Linked DNA regions of Bombyx mori. Each later gene encodes a partner of the first gene's protein in a complex. Links are inferred from orthologs where the notes say so. Each region holds a gene or a part of one and is shown on either strand. Other genes may lie near its edges.

Region 1 (5,808 bases):
AGGCCCCCTTCACCGGTCCCCAGGTCGACATGTCAGGGAGACCCGAAACACTTAGAGGGCCAGGGCTTGGGCGAGATCCGCCTCCCTGGACCCCGCTTGACGGCGGCGGGCCTGTGCATCTCTCACGCGCCTCGCCGCCTCCTTTTGCGAGATGGTGCACTCGCAGAAGTCGAGCATCGCCTTCCACGACTCGTCGTCACCGAGAATCGATGCCAGAACACTCGGCAACGACAAGTCGTTTCCTATTTTTGCGACGAGGACACGCCGCCACCCCCTCCCATGCGGGGCAGGCGACGAGTGTATGCTCTGCCGTGTCCAAGCCGCAACCACAATGGTGGCACTCTGCCGTCGGCTCGGCTCCGATCCGGTGCAGGATCTCACCGAAGCAACCATGCCCAGTGAGTACCTGCGTGAGCCGGAAAGTGAGGCGTCCTCTGTCACGATTCACCCAATTCACAAGAACCGGGCGAATCGCCTCGACGGTCCTACGACCAGCCGAAGGATCGGCCAGCCGCCTGGACCATGACTCCAGCACTGACCGCCGAGATTGGGCCCTCCACACTCTGATCACACTGAGGCTGGGACGCGCCACGCCCCGGGCACGAAGGTTAGCCCACCACTGATAGTCAGCGGCGGGCGCCTCCGCCTCCAGGACCTAAGGCGGCGTCCCAGCCAGTACACACGCCGCCTCGAAAGAGATGGTGCGATAACCACGGATGATCCTGACTGCGATGGTGCGTTGCGGCCGTTGCAGCAACTTCGCTACCCCCACGGCCAGTGACTGGCCCCACACGGGCGCCTCGTATAAGGCGCGTCACCTGGTCATGCCCCCCGATGTTGTAAAGAAGCCGGCTTAACGTGCCAGCCACCCCCAACAAACGAGGGACCAGATTCTGAAAGTGAACACGGAAGGTCCAACGACTGTCCAGAATGAGGCCGAGGTACTTCAACTGCACCCCGACCCGATACGGATGCCTCCAACCACGATATGGGCATCGATAGGTGGCACTCTCCGCGGCCTGTGGAACCACATGGCCTCGGATTTACTGAGTGTCACGTCGAGGCCCGATTTCCTGATTTTACCGACGACATGCGCCACCCGAGCGGTGGCAAGACGAGCAAACTCAGCAAAACTCCTGTGTCCCATTATTTTATTCTATCATCAATAGTTTTCGTAGGGCACGCGACGTAAAGAATATTTTAGGTAATTTTTTTTACACCTTGGGTTAAATTATTGGAGTTTTAGTAAGGATACCCAATTTTTTTTTAAAAAAGGTTATAGTCTACGTCACTCGGGAATAGTGAAGCTTCCAAACAGTGAAAGAATTTTTCCAATCGGCTTAGTAGTTTCGGAGCCTATTTAATACAAACTAACAAAACTTTCCTCTTTATAATATTAGTACAGATATTAATTATTACAAATAATAAAAACGCTGACTTAGGTGGCGGTTTTTATTTGAACCAGTTCTAAATTATAAACTAAAATTCTATGAAAAATTACCCATATTTATCTATAATACGAAATGATATTAATTTGTTTTTCGTAGTTTCCTTCCTTCTTGCGTCGATAATCCTCAGTGCTGAGGGTCGCGGCCTCCTCTAATAACTTTCTCCTGCATCATCTTGCGCCATTCCTGCCTGTCCTCGGCTGTATGGATAGCAACGTGGACTGAAGTTTTGAGAGTGGAGCGTATTTGGTCCGACCAGCGCATTGGATTTCTGCCTCTGTGCCCTCTCCCGCATACCTTGCCTGTTACCAGCAACTTTTCCAGATTCTCACCTCTCTTTCTGGCGATATGTCCAAAGATCTCTAAACTCCTCCGCGCGCATGTAGTGCGGAGGCGCATTGGAATCTTGAGCTCGGTAAGAATGGATTCGTTGGTTCTGTGTTCTGTCCAACGAATCCCGAGCATTTTCCTCCAGCACCACATCTCAAACGCGTCGATGCGTTGGCGGTCGGCTTTCTTGAGGGTCCAAGTCTCTGCGCCGTAGAAAAAAATGCCACCCAAGCACAGTCCATTTGGAACATAGCCCTCTTTGCCATACTGATTCGCCTTCTGAGGTCCTTTTCGGAGGTTCCATTACTAGCTATGACGGAGCCCAGATAAATGAAATCCTCTACGTCTTCCAGGTTTAGCTTATTCGTAGTTTAATAAGTTATTATTGTTAGTAGTATTATTTACTAGTCGAAATATAAATTTTTAATTATCTTATGATGAGAATCTTATATTAATGAGAAAGATATTCAACAAAAATAGTTTCGTTCTAATAAATTAGCATAGTAATAGTACAGTGAACTAGCAATTTATTTTGGTAATTCTGAATTTAAACAAACATATTGATGAGAAGAATTCATTTTTACTTTGCAAATTTGTAAATACACGCTCTGTAGCAATGTACGGACATATAATAATATGAAGAAACAATAATAGCATCTACAAATATATATGTACTACGTGGTACTACATTTAATAAAATTAATACAACATTTATTAATTAAATTAATGAAATTGTGGTTTTAAAGTTTTAGGGGTGTATAAAAAATGGGGGGCGCTGAAAAATAATTGATATTCAAAGGGGGCGGTAAAAGAAATAAGTTTGATAATCACTGCTCTAAGTATTTCATTTTTAAATACTCATAAAATGGGTCATTTCAAAAAATAATATGACATGAAAAAAATCATATAAAAGACATATTATTCACGTGCTCACGTGAAAATAAAAACTATGATTGCATTATAGCTGTTCGCCTGTGTTCTTCTTTTTACTTTACACAAATAAAATTTCAAATTAATCAAAAATCAAATTGCAAATTTAATTCTCGTAAACTGTTGAGTGGCGAAAAAGCCAAGTGGCACGTCATATTTAACTGTCAAACATAACAAAAAAAGTTTGGATTGACGCCAAAAAAGCCGAAGCCGCCATTATTGTGAAATCGTATTGTAAAAATAAATTTCACGTGCTCACAGTGAGTACGATACAGTAAACAAGCTAATTAAACTAAAGTAAATCATGGCTGACAACGACGATCTTCTCGACTACGAAGATGAAGAACAAGCAGATCAACAGACTGCTGACGGGTCTACCGAAGTGGCGCCAAAGAAGGAGGTTAAAGGATCCTACGTATCCATCCACAGTTCTGGTTTTAGAGACTTCTTACTTAAGCCAGAGATACTCCGCGCTATTGTTGATTGCGGTTTTGAGCATCCTTCCGAAGTTCAACACGAATGCATTCCGCAAGCCGTCCTCGGTATGGACATACTTTGCCAAGCCAAGTCCGGTATGGGTAAGACAGCCGTGTTTGTTTTGGCAACATTGCAGCAGCTGGAACCCTCCGAGAGCCACGTTTACGTGCTTGTAATGTGCCACACCAGAGAGTTGGCTTTCCAAATAAGTAAGGAGTACGAGCGTTTCTCGAAATATATGTCAGGAGTCAGAGTATCAGTATTCTTTGGTGGTATGCCAATTCAGAAAGACGAGGAAGTCCTTAAGACAGCATGTCCTCACATTGTAGTGGGAACTCCCGGTAGAATTTTGGCATTAGTAAACAGTAAGAAACTTAATTTGAAACATTTAAAACACTTCATCCTTGATGAGTGTGATAAGATGCTGGAATCTCTAGACATGAGGCGAGATGTGCAGGAGATATTCCGGAACACTCCTCACGGGAAACAGGTGATGATGTTCTCAGCCACATTGAGTAAAGAAATCAGACCTGTGTGTAAGAAATTTATGCAAGACCCAATGGAAGTTTATGTAGATGATGAAGCCAAACTCAAGCTACATGGACTGCAGCAACATTATGTGAAACTAAAAGAAAATGAGAAGAATAAAAAACTCTTCGAACTACTTGATGTATTGGAGTTCAATCAGGTGGTTATTTTTGTGAAATCAGTACAGCGCTGCATAGCTCTGGCACAACTGCTCACCGACCAAAACTTCCCTGCCATTGGTATCCACAGAAATATGACCCAGGATGAGCGTCTCTCCCGCTATCAACAGTTCAAGGACTTCCAAAAAAGGATCCTGGTTGCAACAAATTTGTTTGGCCGGGGAATGGACATTGAAAGGGTAAATATTGTCTTCAACTATGACATGCCTGAAGATTCAGATACATATCTACATCGTGTCGCCCGCGCAGGAAGGTTTGGTACCAAAGGTCTGGCCATTACTATGATATCTGATGAAAATGATGCCAAGATCTTAAACCAAGTACAAGATCGTTTCGATGTGAACATTACAGAGCTGCCTGAAGAAATTGAGCTCTCTACCTACATCGAAGGACGATAGATTAAGTTTCATTCCCATACCTATTTACTGCTGTGGCTCATTTTGTTGGTAATTAGACTGGCCTGCTTTAACATTGATTTGTAATACATTGAGCCACATTTACTGTTTAACTAGGTTTATCTAATTAAAGTGACATTTCATATTGTGATATCTGAGTGTTTTATTTCTTTACCAACAATTTGGGAGCTTTCATCGTTATCAGTAAGACAGGCTGTGATATGTTTAACTTTAGAATGTAGACAGGAAATTGATATATTTATTTTGACCATGTTCATATTAATGTAACAAAATATCCATTTTGAACATATCATTTTGTCTTTATGACTTCATATTTTTATATTCTTAGACATGCAAAATTTACTGATATTGGATGTTAATACTTCACACAAATACTACTGGATGCATTTGGATAAAATTTCATGCCTAAAAACTTCAGAATAAAACAAGCCATAATTTAATTTAGAGTACCTACGTACAGTGTGAGAGGTGGGGTGCAAGTAGTTTCAAGAAATTACTGTTTTTAGAGCCTTGCTATAGGATAATTATACAGGAACGCGACCAGTTTTAACTGAAAAGTACAGAAGGCCCATGTCCAGTAACTGGTATCCACTACAAAATCAAAATCTATAATTGTCTGCCTACACTATATTGATTTAATTAAACTAAATTAGAAACACGTCCAAAGATTTTTTTATTATATAAACTGGCATTTTAATCTATGTTCACAAAAGACGAAAAAGCGATAATGCTAAAAACATACTTTATTTTAGCACCATTTGCATACAAAATAAATATTTAAATTAAGCTTATAGTCCTGCATTTAATTTTTTTTACTGGTGGTAGGACCTCTTGTGAGTCCGCGCGGGTAGATACCACCACCCTGCTTATTTCTGCCGTGAAGCAGTAATGCGTTTCGGTTTGAAGAGTGGAGCAGCCGTTGTAACTATACTTGAGACCTTAGAACTATATCTCAAGGTGGGTGGCGCATTTACGTTGTAGATGTCTATGGGCTTCAGTAACCACTTAACACCAGGTGGGCTGTGAGCTCGTCCACCCATCTAAGCAATATTTTTTTTTATTAAAATATTAATAAACACCAATTATCAATTTCATCTTTATTGCTCTTTATTCCTTAATGAATAACTGGAATTTTTCAATAGTATAAATAGGTACTAGTCAATGTAGCACAACTGCTATGCAATGATTTCCACCACAGCCTAAAGATTACTGTATGACTACTAGTATTAACTCTTATATATTGAGGCGAAACCTCAATGGTAATACCCTAACACTATCGTTCAAACTGGGATGCATGGACTACTTTGAGGCAGAAATCACCACCAGTAATATATTAACAATAGTTTCTAACCATGAGAATTCTTTCTGAGAGAAGCTAAAAGGGTACCTTTTGCTCTGTAGCAATTAATTTAATTGATTGTGAATGAAAAACGTGGATTATTATCAATTACATAAACCATTAAAATTTATTTAAATACAGTTCAATCACGTATGCCAATA
Region 2 (6,298 bases), on another chromosome or scaffold:
GATAGATCAAGATTAAGAATTAACTTATGTATTTCGGCTTGGTCCAAGTAGATGTTGTTTAAGTGAGAAGTTGCGGTAAAATGCTCATCGGCTACTCTAGGTGTCAGATTAACAGCGATATCACAGTCAAGAAAAGTAGATTGGAAATAGTTAGAAAATGCACTGCAGACTCCCTTAGCCGAACTTGAGATCACATTGTTATACGAGACAGATCCTGGCATTGAATTACACTTAGACTTTGATTTAACATAAGACCAGAACTTTTTAGGATCATTTCCTATTGAAATTTCAAGAGAGTCAATATAATCATTGTAACAATTGGTTTCCAGTACTCTAACCCTATCCCGAAGCACATTAAAAGAGTTTAGATCAGATTTATTTCCATAGTTTGAATATTTACGTTTATATTTATATTTTTCTTTGATAGCTTTTTTAAGAGCAGCTGAATACCAGACTGGGTAATGATCAGAGCCAGTCATGCGAGATGGTACATATCTCTCTTTAAGGTCGTTAACTGTCTCATAAAAATAATCAGTACAGCCCTCCAAAGATCTTGACTGAAACTCAACACACCAGTCAATATTATTAAGCTCTCTATTAATTGACAAATAATCACCTTTATTGAATCGATAGTTAGTGCGCGGTGCAGTTCTTAGAGTTACAAGTTCAATACATTTAAACGTAATACCAAGAGCCTCATGATACGGATCAATCGGGACCATTGGATCAACACACTTACTCACCACCAATGATTCATTTGAGAAAACTAGATCCAGAATCCTATCATCCTTATTAGTTATCCCATTATACTGAGCAAAGTCGTGAATATGCATTTCATCCACAAGCAATAATTCATCACTACTACGAGCATTATAAGGTGTAAAGTAACCAAGATTAGACGGCAGCCACGTAATTCCGCTCAGATTAAAATCACCAACAAGTATGAATTTATCAAGTGAATTATCCAAAACAATGTTGGTGAGTTTCGTAAGATAATTAGTTAATTGTTCAGAGAAAGAAAACCTAGAACCCTGTTTGCATAAATATAATACACATATATGCAATTTAATAGTTTCACGTTTCAACTTAACGATGAGTGTAACCCACAAATCTTCAACCGATGAGTTAAATGACGGCTGCAAACTAACTTTTAAATCTTTACGAGTCGCAATCAAAACACCGCCACCCCGAGATTGACCCGTAAGGTCACTGTTCCTATCCCTACGCCAAACTGTATAATGTTCATTAAATAATTCGCCATCTAGGATACCATCAGTCAACCAAGTCTCAGTTAAAATAATCACATCATAAGAACATAATAGCAGGTTACGGCTAAACTCAAGAACTTTCGTTCGAAGTCCACGAACATTTTGGTAGTAGATATGAATACTATTCAGGACTGATTCATTGTCCATTGTAAGAAAATAGTTAATAACATAGTAAGTAAAATTAATATTACGCTGTGGTAATTTCTAGACATTAAATAGTAAAAGTGAAAATAGTAAATTAAATTAAATTGTAGGTAGTATAAAAATAGTCGAAGAATATAACAAGTACCAATAAACCCCTGACACACTAGATCAGCGTTAATAAGTAGTAGATATGCAATACATTCGTGAAAGCAAGACAAATATATGTCAGTAATGACAACCTCAAACAGACAAGCAACGAGATATGAGAACAATAGCGGCAAAAGGCGAGGCGCCGGCCAGTGAACAACAACATGTGTTGTAAACATTTGGACCACGATTATAATTAATAAGTGTACATAACCTATGTCCAGTGACACGTGAATTTGCAACAAAAAGTTACTATAGAAACTAATACAAAATACAAAAAGTAATAATAAGACACAAGCTAAGTCAATTTGTTTAAATCTGCCTCTGTATGTACTATAATAACCGGAGACGAGTCAGATCTTCGCACATGGATCTTACAGAACTTAACCCAAATGTACTTAAAATTCTTCTTTTTGGCCCATGTTTTCACTTTTGTGAGCAGTTGCTTTGAATCACGAGTCAGGTGGTCATTCACGAAGATACGATTAGAAACAGTAAAACCAATGTCCTGGGCATTAAAAGATTTTAGTGCACGAGCAGCGGCGACAAAATCTTCCTTTGTGTACCTATTGTGGAAGTTTAGTATGATCAGTTTGTCAGGCGATCCAAATGTAGGTACCCTCGTAACATGGTTGATGTCAGCCCTGGAAAAGGACACACCCAGCTTCTGGGAGATGTTCTCGACGATTGTAAAAAGGTTTTCGTTCTTCCTTACAGGAACGCCCTTGATCTCGACGTTATTAAGCCTAGCTCTCTGCTCCAAAGCATCGATCTTACCCTGCATTTCCGCATACATTTAATAAAAGTAAACATTTGATCAGACATTGTGCAGACACAATTGTCTATAAAATCCTCAAAACCAGCATTTAGTGATAGACAGATCACTGTATTGAAATGTAATAAAAAAATAATGTACAAGTGTAGAATGAAACCTTTGAGTAAAACAAAAAGCTCTCAACTGTTATGTGTAGCAAGCATTGTAGATACTATCAAGTGCACAGAATTTCAAAAAACTAAACAATATGTATCAAATATCCATCTTATATCCAATAAGTTATCACACAGTGGACTACATAATTTTTTTTTTTTTTTTTACCTAGTTACTATTTAGGCTATAAGTAATAAAATCCCAAATTATAAGACTCTTGTAGATGTATGTTTTAAACTTACCTTTCCTTTGCTTCTCTTTTAGCAGCTTTCAATTTTTCCGCTTGTTCTTCTTCCTCTTTGTGACTCTTTCGTGCTGCAAGTCTTTCTCTAACTATAGCCCTTCTCTTGATGGCTGCATCAGTCATGTGCTTTGTCTTATCAAAATCAACCCTGATGCTACACCACTCGGCAATGTCATCCTGCTTTCTAACTAATTTCTTGCCTCTCAATTCATCCATACATCTGACGAAACCGACATATTCATTAAACTGTACGTATCCTTCAAAATACACAGCTGCATCTTCTGTTGGATACATGATGCCTCTGATGGCTGATTTCATTTGAAGTCTAAATGGATCAGCAATAGGTATGTCCACTTGACGTACCCTACCAAACTTTTCAAAGACCTTTTTGAATAAGCTCTCAGAAGGCATCGCATCTTCATCCCGTTCATTTTTATGAACAAACCAACGTATTGGCAGGTTTGATATATGAATAGTGTCTGGTCTTTCTCCTGGCTTCATCTCATCCATATCGGACGCATCTCGAAAGAACGAGTCCCAAGCGTGACGAGAAGGGAAATCCGACTTCGCTTCACAAACTTTCACTCTTAAGGGCTCCGGGTAATCATTCAACTTCACCACACGTTCATCAAGTCTCATAATCACCATCTTTAGCATACTATAATTTTCTATTTCCGCATCAAATCTGATCACTTCCGAACTATGTTTCGACACTTTTAACAATGAAAAACTCTCAGGTTGGATCATTTTCCGCAGTTTTTCCATGAGCTCCCAATTGGATATAGTTTTGCCGTGTACCTTGTGAGAGGGAAGCTGGACAGAAATATTAAGCTTGGCATACGATTTTAAATACAAACGCTGTGGCAAGTAAAGCGCCACAGCGTCTGAAGTGTCCCTGCATACTTGAATATTCATGACTAACGAACGCTAATCTATGAAATAAAAACTAATACAATTTTATAAATAAAGCTAATCTAACAATAACATGAATGTTAAAAATATTAAACAGTGAAATAATTTTATAATGTTAATGAATACAAACAAATTAAAAATGAAAAATGACCGAAACCAAATTTTTTGTGAGCCATTGTTTTCCGCCGATGGAGCATCGTTTCGAAGCTAAGCTAAATTATGCCAGTTCCGCGATAATTAAACTTAATTCAAGAGTTTCATTATTTCATATATCACTTTGAATTTAAAGATATATTTTTAGTCACTAAGTTAACATTTGTCAATGATCTTAATTTTTAACACGGTTTGTATTGTAGTATTGGTATTCAAACGAGCCAAGCAAGAAGACAGTAAGACAGGTAGACAGGCAATGAAGTAGGAAACCTATGTAGACAGGTGACCTGGATAATGACATTTGACAAATTTGTCATAATTTTTTATCGTTTGATTCCTTAATGCGATAGGCATGACGATTATACGTCATACAGCCAAAGTTAATTGCGATAATAATTGGGAATTTTTAACTGATCGAGGTGGTACCTCTTTATTCTTTTACTATCGAAATCAGCCTTTTGCAATGCCATTATTGCCAATATTGAGCATAGATAATACACAAAGTACTGAGTTTATTAAATCAATCAATTATTATTCATATATCATATTGAGTTTATGAAATCTTTCAATTATTATTCATATATAATACTAGCGACCCACCCTCGCTTCGCTTCGGAAGCATTAAATTTTATTATTGATAGGTGAGTCCCGCCATGTTGCGCGCGGTACGACAATAACTGCGGGTGACGCCGCGGGGCGAAGCTAGTCTAAAAAAATAGCCTAAGTTACTCCTTATATCATCAGCTACCTATTAGTGAAAGCCTCATCAAAATCGGTCCAGCCGCTCCAGAGATTAGCCGAAATAAACAGGCAGACAGACAAAAATTGTAAAAAATGTTATTTTGGTGTATGTACCGTATATATATTCATATGCATGTAGTAAAAAGCGGTTATTTCAATATTACAAACTCTCTCTCTCTTCCCAGCTATTTATCCCACATGGTGGTGGGGTCAGCTTTCCTGACTTTACTCCTCCACTTCGCTCTGTCTTCGACATCCTCGTCAGCAGCATTGCATTCTCTCTTGTCCTTCAGCACTACGTCCCTCCACCTTGTCTTGGGTCTGCCTCTAGGTCTCCGACCGGGGAGGTCGAGCAGTAGCGCCAAATTTCCGACGTAGTCAGGTGGCTTCCTTTTCACGTGACCATACCATCTCAGCCTACTCTCCTGCATCTTGTCGGCGATGTCCCGTACACCTAGACTTCCACGCACGTACTCGTTGCGGATTTTATCGAGCCTAGTCACGCCGCACATCCACCTCAGCATTTTCATTTCAGCAACTTGAATGGTATGTACGTTCCTTTTGGTTGCCGCCCATGTTTCGCTGCCATACATAAGAACAGGCCTGTTCTTATGTATGGGGCGGAATTTCAGGCTACAATTTGGGACTAACTTCATTAGCCGAGCCCGTCCATGACTCGGTAGCCCTAGTATACTGTTCGCAGATGTAGGGCGATATTTCTGCGCGTCGTTTCGCGGCGACGCCCTATCCGTTATCCCAAACGTATTATGTAACCTGTCCATTTGCTTACTAAAATTTGGCGAGTTTTTTGGGTTTATTAAAAGGTACCGATTGCCATCTGACATACCAAAACCTACCCCGCTTGAAGTAGGGAAACCCCCAGATAGGTGATGTGTCCGGGTACAGTTATTTCCTCCTGTACATAGTGGTTGTCTGGTTATCCCGCCAGAGTTTCGGTCGCCAGAGCCTCGTCCGTTGGTCAGCAGGGTGTACCACGAGCAGGTGAGGTTGACATTGTAGATGGTAAAGATGTTAGTTCCATGCCCCTTACAACCCCTTCAATATTACAAACAGACACTCCAATTTTATTTATATGTACCTATAGATATATACTCAGAATGAAAAGAATTTGATGTATCTAAAATTATAATCAATCAAGATGAAACGGGAGACGAAATGGAATTAAATGAGATGAAATGAAATAGAATTATGTCCAAAATGGTGAAAATTTACTTTTTTATGATTGAGGGGTTTTTTGTGGCCTGGAGGCCTTTCCAGTTTCACCAAGGCAGGTGGGCGAGCAAGGGCTCAGCCAGGAGTGGTGGGATTTGCTAACAGCTACCCGAGCACCTCCAGAGGAGACCTAACACCTTAAGAGAAGCTGCTTCGCTAATGAATATACATACCGGATCGTTATCGCGACTTCCTGTAAAGATCCGGCGAGAAACTAAGCGGGCTGATGTTTAGAATAGGTTGCACGTCGAACTCTTTGCTGAGTTCGACGAGCACGGTTACCGGGGTCCCTAAGCCTGTTCTTAGTGCTAGAGCTAATGGCGTCTCATGCAATGTTTATGGGATTTGATGAATCCGTAAGGACGTGGAAAATTTACTGAAACTTCACTGGACTTCTTGGAAGGCTTAGCGACTTTATTTAATTTTCCCACACACCCTGAGCTATCGTAAATGCCTGGTTATGGATACCTTCTGGGACACCCTGTAAATAGAAGTTTTAAGCAACACCTTTTGGACCGTCAGTCAGTC
Region 3 (6,352 bases), on another chromosome or scaffold:
TGATGTGGTCCTCGCTCGCGGACGCCAGCAGCCTGCCGTCGAAGCTAAACGACAGCGTCCGGACCGGCCACTCCAACCTGCAACATTGCACACCAGATGTTCTAATTGCACGGGTAGGTCCGCACGGGTAGGTACCACCACCCTGCCTATTTCTGCCGTGAAGCAGTAATGCGTTTCGGTTTGAAGGATGGGGCAGCTGATGTACTGTAAAGACAGGTCTTAGAACTCATGTCTCGAAGTGGGTAGCGACGTTTACATTGTAGATGTCTAAGAGGTCCGGTAAACACTCAACACCAGGTGGGCCGTCAGCTCGTCCACCCATTTAATTGCAACAATATTAAATTTCCCTGTGTGGCTGGTATTTGTAATTGAGAAAGAATGAAACACTGCCTTTTCCCAGGATAATTACTTTTAACACTCTCTTGTGAATACAGTATAATTGCACAGCAACGGTTGCTATGTTTCCATGTTAAATGAATAATGTATTCTGGGTACCATTTAGGTAATATCCACCGTTCATCCTTCATCGCAAATTTCCAACTTCCAAGTCCATTTCCAAGTCTATTTATTAGTATCAGAGGTCTCAGTATTTTACTCTTCATCTTCACGTAATATTAAAAATACAAGTTTGTCTGTTTGTTTGCATTTCGCAGACTGTTGGAGCTTGGTCAATAGCCCGCACTAGTGAAATTAGTTTACATTTTGGCATAATATTGTGTATATTTGATATCTTTTACAGCACATTCAATGAACTAGAACAAAAAAAAATACCTGGAGAAAACTCTTAAGCAGGCCAGTTCATTGACATCCCATAGTGAGACCAGAGCATCGGCTGACCCAGTAGCAAAGTATCTACCGGTTGGGTCGTGCTCGATGCAGATACACGTACCAGGATGCGCCTTCAGTACTGTCTGCAATTCTAGAGATGGATAACTGGAGAGAAATATTAATTTTCGTTATTTTACTAAACTCTCACCATACATACTTTGGCGACTCACTTATCCGCCACTACATTGACACATACCACTACTTGGGCAACCGCCTTATAATTTCGACCAAATTGCTGTCACTTGTGATTTTAGGCCACATCCGCTATTGTTGTTAAAACATGTTCGGAGATACTTCAGCACATCGGCAATTTTGGAAACTGCGGGCAGTACACATTCGATACGTCTGCTGTGCTGTGTCCTATTGTACACTTACATACTTATATTGAGTTAATTAAGTGCTAATCTACCTATATTGTATCGAAATCCTATGTTATATACAATATACATTAAGTGAATGACATAACAATATTAATTCTCTCTGTGTTACCTATCCTTTGTGTCAGTGCCTAGACAATCTAGTTAGTTGAAGCAGCTTAAATACTACTGCTCCTATGATACCACAAAATGGGAAATTCAAACCACAGCTATATAATTTGTCGTATTTCTTCTTTACGGATCATACCATTTCCACTTTCTACACTAGCGTTATTTTGTTGATTCTTCGAACTGTAACTTGCTGTTTACAGGTAGACATTTTTCAACTTGTCCCCTACACAAGATGGAATACTCCTTAGTTCTATCCTCCATGGCAAGAATGAAGTAAACTTCAGAATACATACAAACTTTAGTAGCAGCACTTACAACTAACAAATACAAAACTATTTTTATAGTAATGTTGAAACTATTTCCTTCTAGCAGTGAATTGATGAATTAAATGTTATAAAATACTAACGTCATAATATGTACGCATCCCAGTCCGTTGGTGAGGAAGAACAAGTCCGATGTATTATTCCATGATATCTCGTTCACTTCAAAGTTAAACTGTTCTTCTGTTACCTGCAATAAATAAATGTCTTAATGTATGCAGTAACTAAATCGATACAAATCACCCTATATTCATGTATTTGAAAAGACAGAATCTCTGGTATGTATCCTCTTTGAGTGGTATTTTTTGGTATTAATTGGTCAATCTTTAAAAGAGTGTCAATAAAAAAATTACAATTGGCTTAATAATACTATTTTATCTGGATGATACAAGAAATATGACCAAGTTAGACAGTGGATTTTAATGATTTTCATACATTTTATATATGTAGTTGAATTTTTATCAATGCTGTGAGAGATGATAGATATGTATGTACAGTCAAAATCTGTTATAACGACATCGAAGGGACTGCTCAAATTCAGTCGTAAAAACCGATAGTCGTAACAACCGGTGATGTTTAATGTGTATCGTGCAAGTACAAACAAATCGATAGGGAATTATTGGAAAAATATATTTATACAACAACGTACATTTTGTTTATTACACATAAGTACAATGCATATTAGTTTTCTGTGAGCATAAAATCTGTAATTTTGGTCTGTTTGGAACACTTCTGCTGTGCGTAGATATTTTGTAATTCACGTTGGATTTTAATTAACGTATCGTCATCGCTCTTTCCAAATGGTTGAAATTGTCGAGTGTGATAACCATATTCCTTTGCTAAGTCTTTGTTTGAAATTCCGCTCTCTAGCTTGGATATAATCCGCGATTTTTCTTCAATATTAATTTGTTTTCTTTTTCATTGCGACATTTTTAAAGTTTCACGAATAACTCCATAAAGTTTTGATGCGTCTTGTGTATAGATAAGTAACAAACTAACTGAAGAGATATGAAGAAGCGGGCTTTGACTCTACTGCATGCACGTGTTTTGTTTCTAAGAATTAGAAAAGACCCTACACTAAACTAAATCCTATTGTTTTCTTTCCTGATTTTAATATCCATTGAAGACAAATGTGGATACCTATTCAAATTGTTTACAATACAGCTTAGCTGGTCGTTCTAACAGATCTAATTCTCCGAAATATTAGTTAAATGTGGTCGTTATATGAGGTATGTCGTTATTAGCAATGTCGTATAAAGCAATGTTTTTAATAAGGCGGTCATATGGCATTCAGCCGGGACCTTTGTTCTAGGTTATTATAACCGGTATGTTGTTCTAAACGATGTCGCAGTAAACGGTTTTGACTGTATATAAGTAAAAATTCATTACTCACCACTTTATAAGTTTTTGTATCGATAAATGAAACTAAATCTTCCTTGTTCCCTACCGCAATGGTGTTGCCATTAGGAGACCATGCTATATTTATGTTTTCACCTTTGGTTGGGATTGTCGCCGCGCATTTGTGTGATCTATAAATTTTATTATCCTGTAGAACACCCTTAGATTTTCTATATTATAAGAAAAATTTAAAATTAATAGTTTAAATTAAGTCACCATGAAAAAGCCAACTGAACTCAATGGTATCAATCTTGTTCAGGAAGATATATTATGAAAATTTACAATAAAGGTATGCCACACTCTCTACCGCAAAATAGTATTAATGTTCATTTGGAACTAACACTTGTCTTTTATGAATACGATGGAATCTCAACTATTGTATTCATGTGTGTTGATATAAAAATTTCTAGATGTTTATAATTTTTTTTGGATATCTCATATTAATATTTATTTATAAAGGGCTAATAATTAACATCCCAGTATTACCGTGTATCCCATATCCTAACAGATTTGTCTCCGCTCGCTGTACTCAGGAGATCAGGATGTGACGCATGCCAGCAGAGTTGATCTACAGAGCCTGTGTGGCCTTTGAAAATAAAATCTTGACTCTGAAATTTACAAAATTTGTGTCTACTTATTTTTATTTCTAGGCTGCACAATTTTTAAGTTATTGCTTAAAAACAAAAAAAAATTTATTATAACCTCTCAAATTTAGTAGGGATTTTAAATATTTTGAAATAAACAATAACTCACCAATCTACTCCTCTCTAAATTAAATATTGCAACGCTTTTATCGAATGACCCAGAAGCCAGCTTTCTACCATCACAGGACCAGCCCACGGAATGTACTTTGGATGAATGTGCAATGTACTCGCGTGTAGTATTGTGTGACGCAAAATAACTACGTAATTCACTTAAATCTTCTATAGGAGCTTGCGAATGCTTTGAATCCTTCATAGCTTTGGTTATCATGTAAAATTTAACATTAAAATTTTAGTTGTTTTCCTGTTAGTGTTTTTTGTTTATTTGACGACTGTTCCTTTCATCGGACAAGCAAAGGAAATCTAACTCATACAGGCAAGTCTTTTGTAATAAATGCCAAAACCTCTAAGTTGTATGAAATTAAGACTATTTGGCAGCAGCACGAGAAGCAAAGTTGTAGGAATGATTTCATTATTTTATAGAAGTAAGATGAAACAGCGCTCATAGAAATGATGAGAATTTACTGAGATTTCCGGGATAACCGAAGCTACGTCCAGCGATTTTGTTATCCTTAATTTTAACCTTTTAGGGTCGTATTAATGCGGATCTGGGTTTGCTTTGGAAGCTGAGAGTAGACCTCTCGTTCTCGCAAAAAGTTTAGAATGCTTTCTAAAAATATCTTTGTAAAGTTCATTTCCATAAGTTTTAAGGTGAACATTACAAAAAGTTACAGAAAACCTTAAAAAATAATTTGTATGCCGAACTTTTACCTTATAATCTTGTACTGTACCTTAGTGTTCGACATTTATTTAATTAACGGGTTGTTACCAGGTTGAATGGATTAAGGCGTAGAGGTGAAGCTGAATACGTTCTGAGATTTAAAAATAAAGACAGTAGAAGAAATCAATTATTTATTCGTCATTCACTTGCCCATGTATTCTCGTCGCCACACCTTTATTTGGCTCATGAAGTAAGCCATTGGAGTCAACCAAACTGTGAGCATAAACGCGCAGTGCAACAAAGCCTCCTGAAAAAAAAGGGAAAAGCACAACGAAAATAGCATTAACAATAAATAATGTATCACATCACACAGCAAGCAGCACTTGGTAAGCCGTGGCTTGGCTCTGCCCCTGGCATTCCTGATGTCTATAACTCATAGACTATGAGCGACGGTAACTACTTACCATCAAGTGGGCCGTATGCACATCCACTTAGAAAGGCAATAAATAAACACAAATATCTGCACATAAGTGCGCAGAGAGTAATTTTTCTGAATTAGTAAACTGATAACCATCCGACATATTATTTTTTAAGTTTACTCATATATTTTTAGTATCAAGCGTTACTTTCTGTGTTAAGCCGCTTGTCAAAATGGAAGTTCGTTCGGTAGAGATCCTTTATACGCTCTTTAAATGGTCTGGGACCTCATCAATCACAATTTATATCTTTTAATGCGTCTGCCGTGTTAGTGGATGTTAGCTTACCTCAATCATCGTTACTTGAACAAGCTTCACTGCAATTCTTTTTTTTTTTCTTACCTATTCTAGTAACCTCAAGGGGTTATATTAGATTTGCCGAACGACTAACTGAGCTCACGAGATTTCTAATCTAGTGACGTTGCTAACACTAGCCCTAGCAAGAGCAGTGCTTCGTAGAATCTATCAGCGAATCGGAAACGCGACCCACTGCGAAGATCCGGCGAGAAACTCAGTGGGATGTGTCTGTGGGTTAAATTCTTATTGTTGACAGCCCTTTGAAATGTCAAACTCAATCTCTTTCCCAATAGTGGATAAAGATCATTCTTAGGCCGTTTTCCAATTACAGCACAAGAACGCATTATGCGTCATAATGCTCAACTAAGCTTCAGCATAATTCGGCATTGTGCGTCACTGAGTTGCATTATGCTCTGTAATTAACCATTACTTATTGGTAGTTTTCAAATTCCAACGGCCTTAAACTGCATTGTTCACATAGAAAAAAGTGTTGGAAATACAAAACATGATGTTATAAGAAACTTACGCCAAGATGGCATTTATTCCTCGGCGGAATGACAATTATCATTCCTGTTTGTGTCCAATTGCGTTTAAGCATTGTTTGTTGTGGTAGCGGTCTTCGTAGTAATTTTGTGAGATTCCGTAACATATTTGAAACGAGTCTCCTAATATGAAACCGTTAAACCAGTTTAAATAGGTACAGGGAGATTATCGACTTCACACTTCAGTTTGATTACATCAGTGTCAGATTAAGTGTATTATCTATGTTAAGGCAATTGTCAATTTCAATTATGGAATTTAATTTTTTTATTTGATGCCATGTTCCATGTAGTTGATTGTTAAACTCTTTTCATTTATTTCGTAGATGGGCGAACGAGTTAGCAGCCACCTGGTGTAAAGTAGATACCAGAGTCCATAGACATCACAAAGTGAATGTTAAAGCCCATCCTTCAAACAGAACGTTGCGTACTGTGTCTGTCCATCGGAGCGGAGTGAGAAAGTAATGCTGAGCGGAGTTTAGTACCTACGCGACGAGTCTGTTCACACTACGGGCGCACCTTGCCCTCGCGCCCCCATTCCCGATCCTGCGGACAGAATGGAAAGCAGTCGACGTCGCCCAAAA
Region 4 (6,395 bases), on another chromosome or scaffold:
TTGTCGCAAGCGACGGGTTTGACGAGAACGATGACCGATGCATGGGGTACCTAACTGCACCGATAGTGGATCGGGGGATCCGAAATGGCGTGTTTAGGACGACTGTTTACCCTTTGCTCTGCTGAATTGGGTATGTAAATCTATGAACTTTAAGATGCAATGAATATTTTGAGCTTTGAAATTGCTTACCAACACTAATAACTTTGCTTCCTAAAATATCAGAATATGCGTTTGCATTTTTAAATAGTAGGAATAGTGATGCTGGAAGCAAGCTTGCGGCCCTGGCTTCATCACGTTTTTCATCCAAGCGTAGAGCAAGACATTCTTGCAAAGGTTTAGTGGATTTCAAGACATCTTTCAGATGTGGAGCCAATGCATCAAGTCTAGAACGTGCAGCAGCAATGGCAGCTGCTACTCGTTCCTTGGAAGATATGAGTTCATTACAGGCTTCAGATAATTCACGACGTTGACGTAACTCCCACTCCAGTCGGGCTAATTGTAATTGATGTTCATCAGCCTTTGTGACCTCCTAAAATTTTACACATTGTCATATTGTTGAATTTGTCAGTACCATTACTGCAACAACTCATCTGATCAGTATCAAAGTTACAAGTACTCAGTATCAAGTGTCTGAGATATGTGTGGAATATGTCATATGTATATTTGTAAGGGGAAACAATGTGAATCATATGACTGGCACCCTCACCAGGACAGATTAAAAGCAGTCATACTTCTGTCATGCCTAACTTTCTACTAACCGTTATGATGCTACTCAGCACGATAGCGCTTTAATGTATAAAATGACAATTGGGATGCAATGCTATCGCCCAAAAACTTAGGTAAGCTCTTGGTCCTGAGTGCATGTATATGTTTTGAACTGTTTATATTATTGCAATTCAAGTTTGGCTTCAATATTTAAAAGAAATTCAGGATTTTAGCTACCTACAGCATTTTAGGGACAAAACTAAAAAAATATTCAGAGCTGAAACGGTTAAAATATGTACATTCAGATATCAGTTACACACTGTGAAAACATACTTACTGATCTAATAATATCAGGAGGTGCATTTTTATAGAATTCTTCAAGAGGCACAAGATCTATTTCTTCATCTTTAGATTTGAATTGTAAACATTTAGTTACTTCTTTGTTTAAGTGATCTGCTTCGTAAAGTAAATTTTGTAACAGTAAATGTGTGGAATCAACTCTCTGTTTCTCTTTATGGAGCGCATCACGACCAGCTCTAGTTCGTACTTTCTCCAGGCGATTTAATTTCTTTAACGCAACCAGCAGTAATGAAGCTTCCACTCTTTTTGCATTTATCTTTTCTTTAGCCTGTAATTATAACTTTTGCCTTAATTGCATTGTTCCATATTTTATATTATTTAACATTAATTACAATTCATAATATAATCTAATCATGTCCATTTTTTTTTTTTATTTGTCGAGCCGGGTGCCGAACCTCCTACGAGGTCCCCGCGTCTAGGGGGGTGTGGGACTTTACGATCTGGTAGTCAACACTACAACCAGACACGCGACGCCACCCTGAAGACGCCGGATCGACGAGTCCTCAATGCGACAGTCGACGACAACGAAGCCGGTCTCCGCGGTACGACAGCCCTGCCAGGCCGCCCGGGCGATGCCGCTGGTGTTCCGGGATACCCAGCTGGACCAGAACCAGCCTGCCGGGTCAGAACGCGATACTCCTGCAGACGACGAAGGCCACCCATACACAGGAAAGATGTCCCTCCCCCGGGTAACGACCAAAGTGTCGTCCGTGTAACAAGCTACGCTCAGACCCGGGAGAGGAGTGCTAAGGGCACCCCGCAGGACCCAGTTCGTAGCCGACATTCCACAAGAGAGGGCCAAGGACCGACCCCTGTGGGACACCACGCTCGACGGGAAAATGGAGCACCGCCCCACAGTGCCCGGTGCACACGGCCATCCTGTTCTCGAGGTAGGACCCGACTCTTATTATGTCCTGCATTAACTATTAATTGAAAAGTGGCATACCTCCAATGTTTCTTTAGTTTTTAACTCTGCAATCTCTTTAAAAAGTTGCCTTATGTCTTGGCATGTTTTATTGAAAAAGGCAGCATCCTTATCAGCTGGACGCAGATGAGCTTCAGCTTCTTCAAATTCAACAACACGCTGGAACAATCCATTTAAAACACATTTTGTAATGAATGAAGAATCTTGAAAAATAAAGACAATTTTTTTGGTGTACTGGGATCTTGTTCAGTTTACAACTTCTCTAAGTGTTAATATTAAACTTGTTTTGAAGATCACAAGATATTTCACGAACAGGATTCACTTAATTTTTATTTTTGTTAATAATAAGTTAAAACTGAAACAAAAACTTCAACAGAAAATATAAAAGCAACAGCTTGCTAAACCAGGAGCCACAAATATAAATTCTCATTTATTAGTAGAACTATGTACTTAAATTTACATTATTATACATATTTATGGTACAGAATAATGAGTCTTGAGGTTATGTTACATCTTATATATTTTGGTCAATACCTTGTATACATCAACGGGAACTGGCTTTGTTCCGTCATTTGATGTACTTGTATTTAATTTGCGCCGTTTCTTAACAGCCGTTACTTCTTCTTTTCCCATGTTTAGTTTTATTCAAGTTTATCAGATTTCATCCAAGTCTGGAACTTTAAAAAAATCACTAATTTAAACAGACAATTACAACCTTACTGCCTATTCACTCTATTCACTGGATTTGTTTTTATATATTAAAGCTTTTACTAGCATCGTTCACGGTAATGTTTGAATTATTTTTCTTTTAATGTTAGCCTTTAATTTGAAAGGTAGTCTTTAACTATGATTTTTTTTAAATTATACTTCATTATTGTACCTACTCAGCAATAGACATGCGTAGTTCCGGACCTAAATAGTTCCTGGAACTATGTCCTCATATGGAACTATATCATTCAATCCGAGTTGTCAAAATTAACATGTTCAGACAGTTCCATTTCCATTCCAAGTGTACTGTTATGCAGGAACTACGAACGCGTTGAACATGACGGACATGCGGACATGATTAGAGCATAGGTACCGCGCGGCGCGGAGGCGTGGCGCGGCGAGTCCACCCGAACGAGTCTCGAACCGACACGAGTCCACGTAAAGAGATAAGGCGACATATGGCACGAATACGAGAGAGTGAGATGGAGCGAGTGCATGAAACTGCGTGTGGAGCTCTTTCATATTACATTTTTATTAATATTGAAGTTATGCTCTACGACCTACGTGTTACAGTCGATAGTTGAATAAATTAAAATGTTTTGCTATGGATTTTGACCTTGACCATGCATCATTCCTACGAGCACTTAACCTTAAGTGTTTGTAGACCATTTCTTAGAAAATCATAATTCAAAATTCGAGAATTTTAAAACATTCACCACTTTCGCTATTCGGTATCTCGGTTATGGGAAAAAGGTTGTAAGGCTACAACGAGCTCAATTTACGTTGTATATCAGAATAACGTGGTATTTTAATTAACAACTGATAGGTTATAGTTTTCGGTGCATCGTACAATACCTACATTGAAAAATAATGAAAGTAGTAGAGTAGTTGAAATTATGACAAAGTAATTACAGTACATTAATAAATTATGCAACCAGCTGTAACAATGAACCTAAAACTAAAAACCTTACAAAATAATATTACAATAATAATTGCCATAAGCGGCAATCTATTTTTATATAGTGCTTTTAAAAAATTGTATTTTTAATACCTTTTTTGAAAAATATTGTGTAATTAATAATAACTTAATACGTGATTCGCTACACTACAAACAGTTACTAGACTTAACATGTCCGCGGAACTAAACAGCTTCAAACAGCTACTAGACTTAATATGTCCGCGGAACTAAACAGCTACAAACTACAAACAGCTACTAGACTTAACATGTTCGTGAAACTAAACAGTTCCGCGAACATGTTTACTGGAACTAGTTCCGACACTCAAAAGAACGATGTCATGTTCAATCCAGTTCCGAACATGATTAGCGCACGTCTACTCAGCAATAGCAACTCTCCATAAATGTCAGTAAATGTCAGTTAAGCATCCTCAAATATTACCTATGTGATAATCTATGTGTGCATCTCTCAGCTCATAGATTTCGACTTTTTGGCGGGAATGCGAGGAGTGAAGCTGTGTGATATGTTTTATTTTGTCTATTTGGTATTTCTTCAGGTTTGAATGTATGATAATGGTGGTTTATTACCTGTTTAGTATTTGCGAAAGGGCACAAATGTGGGAAAATGAAACAAAGTCGCTAGACGTAACTCCTCGGGATCCTCCAAAAAGTCCACTGAAAGAATCTCAGTAAATGACCACCATTTTACTGAGATCATAAATATTTCATCCCATATCATCTCATTTCATTTAATTTCATCCCAGTTGATTAGTTATCTAGTTTATTTTATATAAAATGACTATGATCCCTTTGCCTCTTTAAGTACACAAAACAAAGGACATTTGTTTTTGCTTTCCACCTTGAGAAGGTCAAAAATATCACTGCTGTAATCGCGCCAGCAACCAAATCCTTATATTTTGCCAAACCCGGCTTGTAAGGTGCAATTTTGTTAAATAAGGATATCGCTTAATTTAAGGTTTGTAATTTATTATTATTATGATGTGTATGGATTACAAAAAAGTGGAGTAGTGCAAAAATTTTCAATACAAAAAAATTAGATGCCGATCATTAGCCATCCAATTTTACGTAAATTTCATTGTATCCGTTGAAAATGACTAATTCTTAAACCCCGTGAGCGCAATGAATTTGTAATAAACATTTTAAATCAAAAAATATTTTAAAGTAGGAATTATGATTGTACAACCTATGTTTGACCTTGCCGGCGCATCTCATTCGATTAGCGTTAGCAATAGAAGTAAAAGTAATAGAATTAATCCTTTAATACCCTCAATCGATACAATAAATCTTTTTGCAGTATTCAAGGTAAGTCTCGTGACTAGGCTGTGTGCTTTGGAAATCAGAAGTAGTAATAAGTTGAAATAATGGGGTGTTTTATTAAGCAAATAAGAGTGTCAAGATCCTAAATGGGAAATTGGTGGTTGTATTTTAGGTCTCGGTGGTTCTATGTCTAAGATTTTAAAGGTTGCGTAAATTGCTGGATGTGGGCTATGTAAGACCAGTCATTGTGGTAAACCTTGCTTATATACAGCAGTAAATTTCTGTGGGCTGATGATCCTGAGGTCACTGGGTTTAAATCATACTTTCAATTTAATGACTTGTCCCATACATTTCTATCAACAGATGAACAAAAAAGATATCTGAAAAAATTGAAACTAAATTGCCAAATCTAAAATTCACATATACTAAGCATTATATAGAAATACAATAAAATAGTAATTTTGTATTGATTTAACCTTTAGGATCTATTAAAAATTAGTTTTTTGAGATTGAGATTGCAAGTTTTTTTCTGAACTAAATGAAAATTCAAAATTTCCATCAATTTTACACATCTTTTATTTTTGTAAATTGGACAAAGTCATTTGTCCTTTTATCAAGATAGATATACCGGTATACTTTAAGTGTCTTAACCATGTTGATGGGGCATGATGACTTCTAAACTACTGCCAGTGCTCTCCAAATAAAATGAAAAATTTTTTTTTTTCTAGAAAGTCTAGTTCAGTATTAAAAATGGTAATAAAATCAATCAAGGCTCGTCAAATCTTTGACTCTCGTGGCAACCCTACTGTGGAAGTTGATCTGGTAAGTTTTTTGTTACAAATTATCAACAACTAAATTACTGAAATTCTTTGAAAAATGTAAAGTACCTTTTAATTCTGTGAACAGGTAACAGAGCTTGGCTTGTTCCGGGCAGCTGTACCCTCTGGTGCATCCACTGGTGTTCATGAAGCTCTTGAACTAAGAGATAACATCAAGAGTGAATATCATGGCAAGGGAGTTTTGACCGCAATCAAAAATATCAATGAACTCATTGCTCCTGAACTTACAAAAGCCAACCTCGAAGTAACCCAACAGAGAGAGGTAATTATTTTTAAATCTCAAACAAGAGTAGATATTTCGAAAGGACTCAAAAAAAACTTGAGTGTGGTATTAACATTCAATTGAAGTGGAATTAATATTGATAGGATTTTCATATTAACAAGAAATGTATTTAATAGTTTAAAAATAATATTAAATATATTTAAAAAAGTATATGTCAGCTATGTAAACCTTTTAAATTAACAGATTGATGAACTCATGCTTAAGTTGGATGGCACTGAGAACAAATCCAAACTGGGTGCTAATGCTATCCTTGGAGTTTCCCTAGCTGTTGCTAAGGCTGGTGCTGCCAAGAAGAATGTTCCGCTGTACAAGCACTTGGCTGATTTGGCTGGAAATAATGAC

The links. Proteins that work in one complex are often made in the same cells at the same time.
Region 2: ATP-dependent RNA helicase WM6 (region 1) and A-kinase anchor protein 17A share a complex: the UniProt entries of both Homo sapiens proteins name them as parts of the spliceosome. The link is inferred for Bombyx mori from reciprocal best matches to the Homo sapiens genes DDX39B and AKAP17A.
Region 3: ATP-dependent RNA helicase WM6 (region 1) and THO complex subunit 3 share a complex: the UniProt entries of both Homo sapiens proteins name them as parts of the transcription/export (TREX) complex. The link is inferred for Bombyx mori from reciprocal best matches to the Homo sapiens genes DDX39B and THOC3.
Region 4: ATP-dependent RNA helicase WM6 (region 1) and THO complex subunit 5 homolog share a complex: the UniProt entries of both Homo sapiens proteins name them as parts of the transcription/export (TREX) complex. The link is inferred for Bombyx mori from reciprocal best matches to the Homo sapiens genes DDX39B and THOC5.

What each region holds. Positions count from the first base shown.
Region 1 is NC_085122.1:1,016,675-1,022,482, forward strand, and holds ATP-dependent RNA helicase WM6, read left to right. Parts: upstream 1-2,620; 5' UTR 2,621-3,012; coding exon 3,013-4,290; 3' UTR 4,291-4,440; downstream 4,441-5,808. UniProt on the Homo sapiens protein: Involved in nuclear export of spliced and unspliced mRNA. Component of the TREX complex which is thought to couple mRNA transcription, processing and nuclear export, and specifically associates with spliced mRNA and not with unspliced pre-mRNA.
Region 2 is NC_085127.1:13,390,613-13,396,910, forward strand, and holds the start of A-kinase anchor protein 17A, read right to left. Parts: upstream 4,103-6,298; 5' UTR 3,647-4,102; coding exon 2,730-3,646; intron 1-2,729. UniProt on the Homo sapiens protein: Splice factor regulating alternative splice site selection for certain mRNA precursors. Mediates regulation of pre-mRNA splicing in a PKA-dependent manner.
Region 3 is NC_085132.1:2,064,707-2,071,058, reverse strand, and holds the start of THO complex subunit 3, read right to left. Parts: upstream 4,103-6,352; 5' UTR 4,007-4,102; coding exon 3,788-4,006; intron 3,643-3,787; coding exon 3,521-3,642; intron 3,166-3,520; coding exon 3,030-3,165; intron 1,827-3,029; coding exon 1,723-1,826; intron 934-1,722; coding exon 772-933; intron 78-771; coding exon 1-77. UniProt on the Homo sapiens protein: Component of the THO subcomplex of the TREX complex which is thought to couple mRNA transcription, processing and nuclear export, and which specifically associates with spliced mRNA and not with unspliced pre-mRNA.
Region 4 is NC_085114.1:10,648,952-10,655,346, forward strand, and holds the start of THO complex subunit 5 homolog, read right to left. Parts: upstream 4,103-6,395; 5' UTR 4,035-4,102; intron 4,016-4,034; exon of another isoform or gene 3,750-4,015; intron 3,373-3,749; exon of another isoform or gene 2,762-3,372; intron 2,682-2,761; exon of another isoform or gene 2,668-2,681; 5' UTR 2,624-2,667; coding exon 2,525-2,623; intron 2,150-2,524; coding exon 2,012-2,149; intron 1,334-2,011; coding exon 1,043-1,333; intron 530-1,042; coding exon 190-529; intron 1-189. UniProt on the Homo sapiens protein: Component of the THO subcomplex of the TREX complex which is thought to couple mRNA transcription, processing and nuclear export, and which specifically associates with spliced mRNA and not with unspliced pre-mRNA.